Linked DNA regions of Stegostoma tigrinum. The protein of the gene in region 2 interacts with the protein of the main gene of each other region in a pairwise test. Links are inferred from orthologs where the notes say so. Each region holds a gene or a part of one and is shown on either strand. Other genes may lie near its edges.

The links.
Region 1: the proteins of erlin-1-like (region 2) and fa2h interact in binary tests that used the Homo sapiens proteins (3 or more experiments, as listed by UniProt). The two-hybrid records come from large-scale screens. The link is inferred for Stegostoma tigrinum from reciprocal best matches to the Homo sapiens genes ERLIN1 and FA2H.
Region 3: the proteins of erlin-1-like (region 2) and sec22a interact in binary tests that used the Homo sapiens proteins (3 or more experiments, as listed by UniProt). The two-hybrid records come from large-scale screens. The link is inferred for Stegostoma tigrinum from reciprocal best matches to the Homo sapiens genes ERLIN1 and SEC22A.

The regions. Positions count from the first base shown.
Region 1 is NC_081369.1:14,133,120-14,136,869, reverse strand, and holds the start of fa2h (fatty acid 2-hydroxylase), read right to left. Parts: upstream 2,884-3,750; 5' UTR 2,753-2,883; coding exon 2,453-2,752; intron 1-2,452. UniProt on the Homo sapiens protein: Catalyzes the hydroxylation of free fatty acids at the C-2 position to produce 2-hydroxy fatty acids, which are building blocks of sphingolipids and glycosphingolipids common in neural tissue and epidermis.
Region 2 is NC_081390.1:13,847,327-13,851,076, forward strand, and holds the start of erlin-1-like, read left to right. Parts: upstream 1-975; 5' UTR 976-1,047; intron 1,048-1,140; exon of another isoform or gene 1,141-1,853; intron 1,854-3,750. UniProt on the Homo sapiens protein: Component of the ERLIN1/ERLIN2 complex which mediates the endoplasmic reticulum-associated degradation (ERAD) of inositol 1,4,5-trisphosphate receptors (IP3Rs).
Region 3 is NC_081360.1:97,211,231-97,214,980, forward strand, and holds the start of sec22a (vesicle-trafficking protein SEC22a), read left to right. Parts: upstream 1-906; 5' UTR 907-1,126; intron 1,127-2,324; 5' UTR 2,325-2,461; intron 2,462-3,750. UniProt on the Homo sapiens protein: May be involved in vesicle transport between the ER and the Golgi complex.

The DNA.
Region 1 (3,750 bases), on a different chromosome or scaffold from region 2:
AACATTAGACTAATGCTAATTTAAAATCAGGAAGCAGCTAGAAAAGTCATTGATTCTCAATAGTCCATCCAAATATACAATTTTGACTACTTTTCCTACATATAAAAACTTGCCTCAGCCTCTATCCAAAGATCGCAGAACAGTTGCTCACATAATGTTGCTTTGCTTCCAACTACATCACCTCCAACACCCACTGAAGGTATTCATGGACAAAAATCACTGCTGGTCTCTCACTTCTCCAGCAGTCCCATGATGTTTTTCCATTGTAGCTTTTTGTATTGTTAAATTTACCTTATCACCTTAGATACAAATTAACCACACTGAAATAAAAGATGATCAGGTAAGCATGGTTTTGCTAACACCAGCACATCTTTTATTGTTAAGCGTTTTAACAAGCAGGTTTTATGGGTTGGCTTAAGTTTTTTTGGCTTACATGTTAATGACTCGGACTTGGGTATTCGGAGCACAAATTCAAAAATTTGCTAATGGTACAAATCTCAAGTATCACAAGTCAGTGAGGACAGGAGCAGGCACAAGAGACTGAGGAAACAGGCAGTCACGACATGAGATTTAAGGTAATGTGAAGGGTAGCCTTTGATAGAAAGGCCGAGAACAGCCATAAATGAACTAAACAGTACAATTTTAAACAGCTGCAAAGAAAACTGAGGCAATGAACTGCTGGAAGTACAGGAGTAGAAGAAATGGCAGTGCATGAAAAGAAGTGACACTTTTTGTAATATTTACGGAGATAGCAATTGCATGAATGTAATGGCAAATTTTTGAAATACTGATCAGGCCTCATTTCGATTCGGAGTTCAACTCCTGAAGAATCATGTAAAGCCTTGGAGCTTGCAAAGAACTGATGTACTAGAATGATTCCAGGGACAATGCACTTCATTGATGTCCTGATGCTGGGAAATATCTTCGAACAGAGAAGGCTAAGAGGATCATAGGAGAACGTACAAACGCAGAGACGATTGAAACAATACAGAAAAAGGAGAGGAACTTTCCAGTGATCAGGTTGGAAACAGGAGCACAGAAGGACTGGTTTTAAGTGTGTGTTCAGGACATCTACAATGTCTGGAAAAAAAAAGCGGCTGAAGCAGATTCTGTAGCAAATTCCAAATGGAATTGAAAAATACTCGAATAAAAAAAAATCAGTGAGCTGAAGGGAAATGATATTAATCGAATAGTTCGATCAAAGAATACGACACAATAAAACGGCACAAGAAAGTTGCCACGCTGCTGTGAATTTGACAATTTCCGTCTAATGTCCATTACCAAATAACTTGAATTAAAGAAGGTATTCAGCCAGCTACATGTAGGAAATTAGTAACACGGGGCAGAAAAGCCGCGCAATTCGAATGTTGTACCTTCTAATGTAGTGACAAATGTCACACAGGGCCAAACCAAATGGGGAGAACGTCTGTGACCTTACAATAGCCAGTTCGTCTCGGGTTCGAGCAACCACAGAACTCTGGCAACAGTTCACATTTGGACAAAGTTTCGGTACGATCGAAAAATTCAAAGGACTTGTTTTAAAATTCACGTTCAAGTCTCACCTCCCATACCCACACCCTTGTGTATGCCTTTTTTCTAAAAGCCAGAAAAAAAAAAGAGGGTGGCGGTGGAGGCAGAAATGCGAGGAAATAAATGCCAACCGTGGGCCCCAATGCTCTTGTTAAACCGGTTTGGTTATTAACCTGCTGGTTAACGCCCTTTTGTTTTCTCGCAGCACCTGTTTATCCAGGTCTGCGATCCGCTCCGCTCTCTCCTGGGTACAAACCTCGCAGCAACTCAGCTAGTAAATACTTCGTGTTTCTTGAGCCCATTTCCCCCTTCCGACATGTGTCACAAGCCTTAGTCTGTTTTACTTTCGGTCGGACTTGGATTTTTCTTTGAAAAACCTCAAAATAAAAAGCTCCCCCCACACTCCTGAGGAGACGCCTCTCTGATATCTTTTTCCCTCCAGACACCAGCCTTGCTTTTCAGTCCAAGCCTTGGAGCAGGTGTTTTCTTATTTTAAAGAAACAAAAAAAAACAAAAAACACAGAAAACAGGCTCAGCATTAAGTCACGGTAGAATGCAGAGCTTCCGGGTATGTTGTTTACACGGATTTATTTTAAAATATCGTGTGGAAAAATTCCATCAACCCCATCCCCCAAGGTGGGAGCTCATCGCTGTATGAGCCACTCCCCTCACTCCATAGTTAATTCTATTAAAACTCCACTTCGTGTGTATGTTAAAAGTTCTGCTTTAAACTTTCTCATTTACTTCCACTTTGCTGTTTTTTGTCCCCGAGTAGGTTCAAAACATGACTTTGCACAAAATGTCACGAGTGAATAAGGTGGGGAGGCGCTCTTCAGCGGATGAACCAGACGTTGGTGGGGTGGGGGGTGGTCTTCCTTAGAGGATGCCCAAGATCTTTTCCATCCCCTTCCCTTGGAGTTACCTGCTTTTTCTGGGAGAATATTTCTTCTTCATCCTCCTCCGGGGCGCCGCTGTCCGTGCTCAGCTCCCCGATGTAGTACTGCTGTAGCCAGCGGTGCGCGTTCGAGCTATGCCGGTGCGGAGGTCCTGCCATGTCCCGGCTCACATCCGTACCCGCCCGCCGGACGATCATCTGCTCGCCGCCCGGGTGCCGCTGGATAAACGCCGACACGTCGTAGACCCGCCGCCCGTGGATGATCCAGCAGGAATCCACCGTCGTGTGCTCCTGCACCTCGGCTATGGTGAAGTAGCGCTTCTCCATAATTTTTGTTTAATCTGCGCGTTGAATCTCTCTTTATCTTTCAGTGCCGTGAATTCACCGCCTAGTCCCGTCCTTACCGCCCTTTCCAACACTCACATTCCACTAGTGTGTATAACCCAGCTCCCTCTCACTGCCCGCTATTAACATAATAAGGCAGTACGGCGCCGGCATACACCTGACGCAGCCCCGCCTTCCACTTCGACATTAATATTCATGACAGTCTTTAATTACAGTGTCCCCGCCCTGTGAGTTTTGACAGGGCTTTTTCTAGAATGGATTTCGGGTTTGGGGTTGACCTGCAGTTGCAGCACCGCCCCCCCCCCGTTGTCCTTCCTTCCTGCTGACCCTCCATCCTCTCTAGTTTCCCCCCAGTAAGTTTTCAGCTGAGCTCGACTGTTTCACTTAGCCTCTTTCATTGCCTCCGGCTAATTTTCTCTCTCTCTCTCTGGGTCCCTCAACCTTTCCACTTCTCACCTCCTTTCAGTCATCTCATGAAGACTGAACTTTTGCTCCACTCTCCTCAGTGGGAGTGGGAGTGGGAGTGGGAATGGGAGAATGGGAGAATGGGGTGTGCCTCCGTGTTAATTTTCGCCTGATTGTACGCTTCTTGGCGCACCTTAAGCTGTTTTCTTTCAAACCATGTTAAAGGTTCTACATCAATGTAGGTTGTTGTTGAATGCAGTTTTCATATAACGAAACGTCCCCAGGCTCCTATTTTCATATGGCACATGATTCCAAGGAGGAACAGGTTCCTCTCCTCCACGCCTTTCATTTGGAAGACATAATATTCTGATCTCCCCAATTTTGAAAGTGCTTTCAAAGGTTTTTTTTTGACTTACCTCCATGCTTTGAGTGTGGTGGAATTAACCAGATTGATGTGATTCAGTATAAATGAACAATTTCAATAAGGTAAGCACTTAGGCTGTAAATTTCACGTTACGATAAATAACGTCAAGAAGCTGACGTATATCCATTTTTTCAATTAGAGAGATGAAATT
Region 2 (3,750 bases):
GTCAACATTCCTGCTCCTCTGATGCTGCCTGGCCTGCTATGTTCATCCAGCTCCATACTGTGTTATCTCTTAGAAAGGCTGCATTTTTTTTTAACTTTCCAAACAACGCCTTCTTCCATCTACACAATGGCTCAGTGGTAAGCACTGATGCCTCACAGTGCCAGGGACCTGGGTTAAATTCCAGCCTCGGGCAACTGTGTGGAGCTTGCACATTCTCCCCGTGTCTGCATGGGTTTCCTCCAGGTACTCTGGTTTCCTCCCACAGTCCAAAGATGTGCGGGTAAGGTGTATTATCGTGCGAAATTACCCCATAGTGTTCAGGGATGTGCAGTTTAGGTGGGTTGTAGGGGGATGGGTCTGGATGGGATGCTCTGAGGTTCGGTGTGGACTTGTTGGGCCAAAGGGCCTGTTTCCACACTGTAGGGATTCTATGATTTATACACACATGCAACTTGGAAAGATTACTTCAAAAAGGACATGATCTGGTTTCTGACAGTGGACTGTCCAATCATTGAGATTTTTTTAAAAATCGTAAAATTGTGAGGAGTGGGTGAGGGTGTTGGTCAGAAATGGGTGGAGGGTTGAGCTTATGCAATTATAAATCTGGACTTTTGAAGATTTAATCTGGAGGGGAATAAAGCAGCATGGGGATGGGAGAAAGAAAGTTGGAGTAAGGAGGGGGAAGGAAAGGAGGGTGAAGGGTAATGGAGGGGGGTAAAGGAGGGAGCTGAAGGTGGGTGAAGGGTAATGGAGTGGGGTAAAGGAGGGAGTTGAAGGTGGGAGAAGGGTAATGGAGGGGGGTAAAGGAGGGAGCTGAGGTGGGGGAAGGGTGGGGGAGGGGAATGGAGGAAGAGGGGAAAGGTAGGGGTGGGGGAGGGGATAGAGGAGGCGGGAAAGCGTCTTTCGTAATATTTGTCGGCAGAGCAGTTAAAGGCAATGCAGGGATGTTCCCTTTAAGGAGGGCGGTGCTGTGACCCGGAAATGAATGGGAGGGTGTGGGGAAGGGACCGGGAACGATCAGGATCAGTGCTGGGACTGGAGGAGGCGGTGAGTGTTAGGGGAGGGGGAGACCATCTCCAACACCTCCCTCCCCCCCCAAACCCGGTGCTGCAGCTACTTACCTCCCGAAAAGCCCCAGAATCGTCCCGATCTCACCCACCCCCACCCTCACCCATCCTTACTCACCCGTTCTTATCACCACCACCGTTTCCTTCTACCCACATGCCCACTGTCATATTTCCCCCCCCCACCCCAATTTCAGCCTTCCTGTTCCCATCCTCATGTCTCCCTGTCTTTTGTTTAAAAATGCATTATATTTCGAAACTATCGACTGCAGAGGGTGGAGGGAAGAAATAGAAAAATTCCATGATAGGCAAAAGCCCCTTTTTAAAATTTCTAACCTTCGATGTTTTTCTGTCTGTGTGTCAGACAGTGTTTAAACCATTATTGTTTAAATTCTTGTTTTTAAACATTCGTAATTGGGCTAATTTTCTGCCCTCTATCTTTCCCGAAACTCGCTTTCTCAACTCTTTCTGAGTTCCATTCCTGCCAAATGCCAGAACTCTGACCTGTATCATGCACAATCTGCATTTTTGTCTGGTTCTTGTTTATGCTGATCCCTTCCCCTGTCATTAGCCTTTCCGTTTAAACTCCTTGCAGGCATTGCTGTACTGGATTGGTGCAGTTTTATCCAGTATCATGTTTGAATATCGTACGTTATGTAATCTTTCTTCCAAACTTTCACCATCTAACTTCTTTAGCTTTATTAAGACCTGTATGCTTTTGTAACGTCCATCTCAATGCTTCAGTCAGATCTCCACCCACTGCTTTGCTTGCTGTCAATTGGCAGAGTTGTAAGTACAAGTTTGCCAGTTGTTAAAACTGTTTTTGGCTTTTCTTGGGCATTATCGGGAAAACTTGGTGGGTGTGTTGATATTTTACTAATTGCAAAGATGTAAGTGGAAAGTAAATATTTGCCGTATGAGCAGCTTTAACAAACTTCACTTTAAATGGAAGTATGTGTTTATTTGTTCTGGGATTGTAAGAAGTGTTTCAGAAAGATAACTTGCCTTTAAGCATGTATCACTTGATGTTAGTTACTTCATAGAGTAATTTTGAGACTTGCCCTGAAATAGCCTTTTGTTTATTTAAAGCTGTGATCCATTGTCCTATTCTTATGCGTTTAGTTATTTTCCTTTTCCATAATGTTTACAATATTGCATACTTCCTATAAAATCCCTCTCACCCGTTTACTTTCAAAATTGAAATTTCCAAATTTCTCCATAATTCAAATGTGCTCATTTTCTTCACAATGTAAATGACTCAATGATGAGAACTGAATAAAGTTGTTCTGTTTCCAGACCAAAGCTTTATAAAGTGATCAAACCTCCTGTTTTCATTCTGGTTTTTGCTGAATAATTCAGTGAATGTGCAAGATCCCACAATGTTACTTCTCTTAGCCAGTACGTAACCACTACTGAAAATGGCGAGGTATAGCTGGGCATTTTCACAATGATGTCTGTGGGACATCGCTGGATGCTAATTGGCTGCTATGTGTCATATATTATAAGTGACTACACTTGTAAAGTATTTAATTAGTTACAAAGTGCTTTGTAATGGCAAGTCATTTTTTCTTTTATGTTCTACAGTATTAGCACACTTCCATTTTGTGTATGGTGTTCACCAGCCTTTTTCAACTTCGTTTTTGCTATATCAACCATTCATAGTGTATCATTTAAGTGTTAATCTTCCTGTATAAAATTGAATCTCTTTGTCCTGTCCACTGAGTTATTTTAGTTAGCTTGTTCTGTAACTGGAGCTGCTATTTTCTGGTTCATTAACCCTCTAGGCCAGGTATCAGCTACAAATTTGATTAATAAAGAACAAAGAAAATTACTGTACAGGAACATAAGATAATAAAATGTGAGGCTGGATGAACACAGCAGGCCCAGCAGCATCTCAGGAGCACAAAAGCTGACGTTTCGGGCCTAGACCCTTCATCAGAGAGGGGGATGGGGTGAGGGTTCTGGAATAAATAGGGAGAGAGGGGGAGGCGGACCGAAGATGGAGAGAAAAGAAGATAGGTGGAGAGGAGCGTATAGGTAGGGAGGGGATAGGTCAGTCCAGGGGAGACGGACAGGTCAAGGAGGTGGGATGAGGTTAGTAGTAGGGAGATGGAGGTGCGGCTTGGGGTGGGAGGAAGGGATGGGTGCGAGGAAGAACAGATTAGGGAGGCAGAGACAGGTTGGACTGGTTTTGGGATGCAGTGGGGGGAGGGGAAGAGCTGGGCTGGTTTTGGGATGCGGTGGGGGAAGGGGAGATTTTGAAGCTGGTGAAGTCCACATTGATACCATTGGGTTGCAGGGTTCCCAAGCGGAATATGAGTTGCTGTTCCTGCAACCTTCGGGTGGCATCATTGTGGCACTGCAGGAGGCCTATGATGGACATGTCATCTAAAGATCGGGAGGGGGAGTTGAAATGGTTGGCGACTGGGAGGTGCAGTTGTTTATTGTGAACCGAGCGGAGGTGTTCTGCAAAGCGGTCCCCAAGCCTCCGCTTGGTTTCCCCAATGTAGAGGAAGCCACACTGGGTACAGTCCCTGGCTCCCAACACCTCATTTTCACCATGGATGTCCAGTCCCTATACACCTGTATTCCGCATGCAGATGGCCTCAAGGCCCTCCGCTTCTTCCTGTCCCGCAGGCCTGACCAGTCCCCCTCCACCGACACCCTCATCCGCCTAGCCAAACTC
Region 3 (3,750 bases), on a different chromosome or scaffold from region 2:
TCCCTGCTCTATCCATGTCTCCGAAATGGCCACAACATCGAAGTCCCAGGTACTAACCCATGCTGCAAGTTCACCCACCTTATTCCGACACTCCTGGCATTGAAGTAGACACACTTCAAACCAACCTCTTGCTTGCCGGTCCATCTTGCTTCCCTGAAACTTTATTTCGGACCACCCTACTCTCAACCTTTTCTATAGTCAAACTACAATTTTGGTGCCCATCGCCCTGCTGAATTAGTTTAAACCCACCCGAATAGCCTTAGCAAATCTCCCCCCCAGGATATCGGTACCCCTCTGGTTCAGGTGAAGACCATCTTGCTAGTCGAGGTCCCACCTACCCCAGAAAGTGCCCCAATTATCCAAGAATCCAAAACCCTCCCTCCTGCACCATCCCTCTAGCCACATGTTCAACTCCTCTCTCTCCCTATTCCTCGCCTCACTAGTACGTGGCACAGGCAACAAACCAGAGACAACAACTCTGTTCATCCAAGCTCTCAGCTTCCATCCTAGCTGCCTGAATTTTTGCCTTAAATCCCCATCTCTCTTCCTACCTATGTCGTTGGTGCCAAAGTGGACCACGACTTGGGGCTGCTCCCCCTCCCCCTTAAGGATCCCAAAAACACGATCAGAGACATTACGCACCCTGGCAGGCACTAAGTGTGTTTTCTCAGACTCTATAAGCTGCTCAGGCGCTAAATGCTCCATTGCCACGTAAACACGAGAGATGAGGATTTTGATTGACAGCTAGGTCCCCCACCCGATAGAGCGCATGTGTAAGCCTTGATCCGACGTCTAGAAGGACGGATGCGCATGCGATCCGACGGACAGGAGACGGGGGTCTTGCGCACGCGCAATGAAGGGGTCCGGCAGGAGCCGGGCAGACGCATGCGCCGTCTGAAACGTTCGCGCGGGGCGTGTCGGGTGCGCCTGCGTGCTGCTACCGCCTCTTGGTGTCTACTAGACGGGTCGACGACCTGGTCGGGTGAGACCGGCCACCACCCACGACAAACCGTGCAGCCGTCACCCTGGAGAGCGGACTTTGACCGGTCAGCACCGGCTCTGGTCCATAGCACGAGCGGCTGGAGGAAAGGCCTGTGGCCTGTCTTCTTGGCGACCGGTTACTGAGGTAACGTATGAGGCTCGCTGCTGGGGGGGAGACCGTGAGGCTGCAGGTAACCGAGGGCCCGGCAGTTCGTATGGGACATTGGGCAGCAGCATCATCCCCCGAGAGACACCTGGGTTCAGATGTCAGGCCAGAGAACCGAACACATGTACACAAAACAGCAAAGAAGGTTCGCCAGACCTGGATGAACACAGCCGGCTAAGCAGCATCAGAGGAGCAGGAAAGCTGATGCTGCTTGGCCTGCTGTGTTCATCCAGCTTCACACCTTATTATCTCAAATTCTCCAGCATCTGCAGTTCCCACTATCAAAGAAGGTTCACCACGTTCTCATGATGCGGAGGTGCTGGTCTTGGACTGGAGTGGACAAGGTCAGAAATCACACCACACCAGCTTATAGTCCAACAGGTTTATATTTGCAATCACAAACTTTTGGAGTGTAGCCCCTTTGTCAGGTGAAGTGTCAAATAAACCTGTTGGACTATAACCTGGTGTGGTGGATTTCTGACCTTGTCGCAGAGTCAGTGCTGCAGGAGCACGGCACTGTTGGAGTGTCAGTACGAGTGAGCACCACACTGTCAGAGGGTCAGCGCTGAGGGAGCGTGGCGCTGTTAAGGTTTTCAGGGTCAAGGGAGCTCCTTGTTCTCTGTACTCTCGGGGGCTGGGCAGACTGGAGGCTTGTCCTTGAGGGTTTGAGTGCTGACAGGGCTGCACATTCAGCGAATCAGCCAATTAGACACTGTTATATGTCTGCGCATCAGTACTGAGGGACTCCTAGGGATGTGGGGCTTGGGTCGTCATTGTTGAGGCCCTGGTGCTAGAATGTGACCCACCTTTACACCTTGAAATGTTGGCCCTGTTTCTCTGCCTGCAGGTGTAGTCAGTGTTATGAGATGGTTGTGTGACAATACTCCCATTGTCTGTTCAGGTGGCTGTAACATTTCACTAAGAAAGAGCCATGAATTCATCCCACTGCCCTGGCCGGTATTTATGCTTCAGTAAGCTTAATTTAAAGCAGATCACCTGCTTGTTATCACACGGCTCTCCTCGTGGTCATATTGTGTGCCGTTTGGGTACTTTATATCTTACATGACATTTGTGATTAGACTGCAATGTTACTTTAATATTTTTAATCATTTGTGGGGCATGGCCCACACTGGCTGGATCAGCACTTTTTAATTGCCTGTCTCTAATTGCCCTTCAGAAGGTGGTGGTGAGCTGCTTTCTTGAACTGCTGCAGTCCACATGCTGAGGGTTGACCCACAATGCCATTAGGAGGAAATTGCAGAATTTTGACCCAGTGACAGTGAAGGAGCAGCAGTATGTTTCCAGGTTAGGATGGTGAGTGGCTTGGAGGGTTACTTGCAGGTGGTGGTGTTCCCATGTATCTGCTGCACTTGTCCTTCTAGATGAAAGTGATTGTGTGTTTGGAAGGCGATGTGTAAGGATCTTTGCTGAATTTTTGCAGTGCATCTTGTAGATAGTACACACTGCTGCCACTGACTGTCGGTGGTGGAGGGAGTGGATGCTTGTGGATGTGGTGCCAATCAAGTAGGCTGCTTTGTCCTGAATGGTATCAAGCTTTTCGAGTGTTGTTGGCGCTGTACCCATCTAGGCAAGTGAGAACTGTTTCATCACGCTTCTAACTTAAGTCTTGTGGATGATGGACAGACTTTGGGGAGTTAGGAGGCGAGTTACTCACTACAGTGTTCTTAGCCTCCGACCTGCTCTTGTAGCTACTGTGTTTATGTGGCAAGTCCTGCTGAGTTTCTGATTAATGGCGGCCCCCAGGATATTGATACTGGAAGCACCATTGAATGTCTAGGAGCTGTGGTTCGATATTCTCTAATAAGAGACAATCATTGCCTGGCATTTGTGTGGCATGAATGTTATTTGCCATTTGTCAGCTGAATCCTGGATGTTGTCCAGATCTTGTTGCATTAGAACATCGATTGCTTCAGTATCTGAGGGGTTGCAATTAGTGATGAACATTATGCAATCGTCGTCGAACATCCCCATTTCTTAGGGTCGAGAGAAGGTCTTATAGTACTTTTAAATATTGGGAGATCAAGAAGGACACTACCAATGGAAGTTTTTCTTCATTTCTACACAGTCATGTTTATTGACAACTACCTGGTTGATTGTGGTTCCACCCTGACACTGGCTAGCCTTTGAACCCCTCATTTGAAACTAGGGGCAGGAATAGGCTTTTCAGTCTCTTGAGTGTCCATCACCATTTGATAAGATCACAGTTGATCTGATTGTAACCTCAGATCTACAATCCCTTGTCCCCCTCATTATCTTTTACCCCTTTGATCAACAAGAATTTAAAAATATTCGAGTATTCTGCTTCCACTGTCTTTCTGCGAAGAGTTCCAAAGAATTACCTCAACATTGAAATGAGCAACTCTTGATTTTTAAGCAGTGGTCCAGATTCTCCCACTGGTGAAATATTCTGTCAACATCTACCATGTAAAGTCATCATAGAATCTTGTATGTTTCAATCAATCCACCTCTTGCTTTTTTAAACTGCAGCAGATAAAATTTGAGCTTATATAAGCTCTCCTCATAAGAAAACCCATGCATTCCATGTATTGGTCTGGTAAACTGTCTCTAAACTGCTTCGAGTG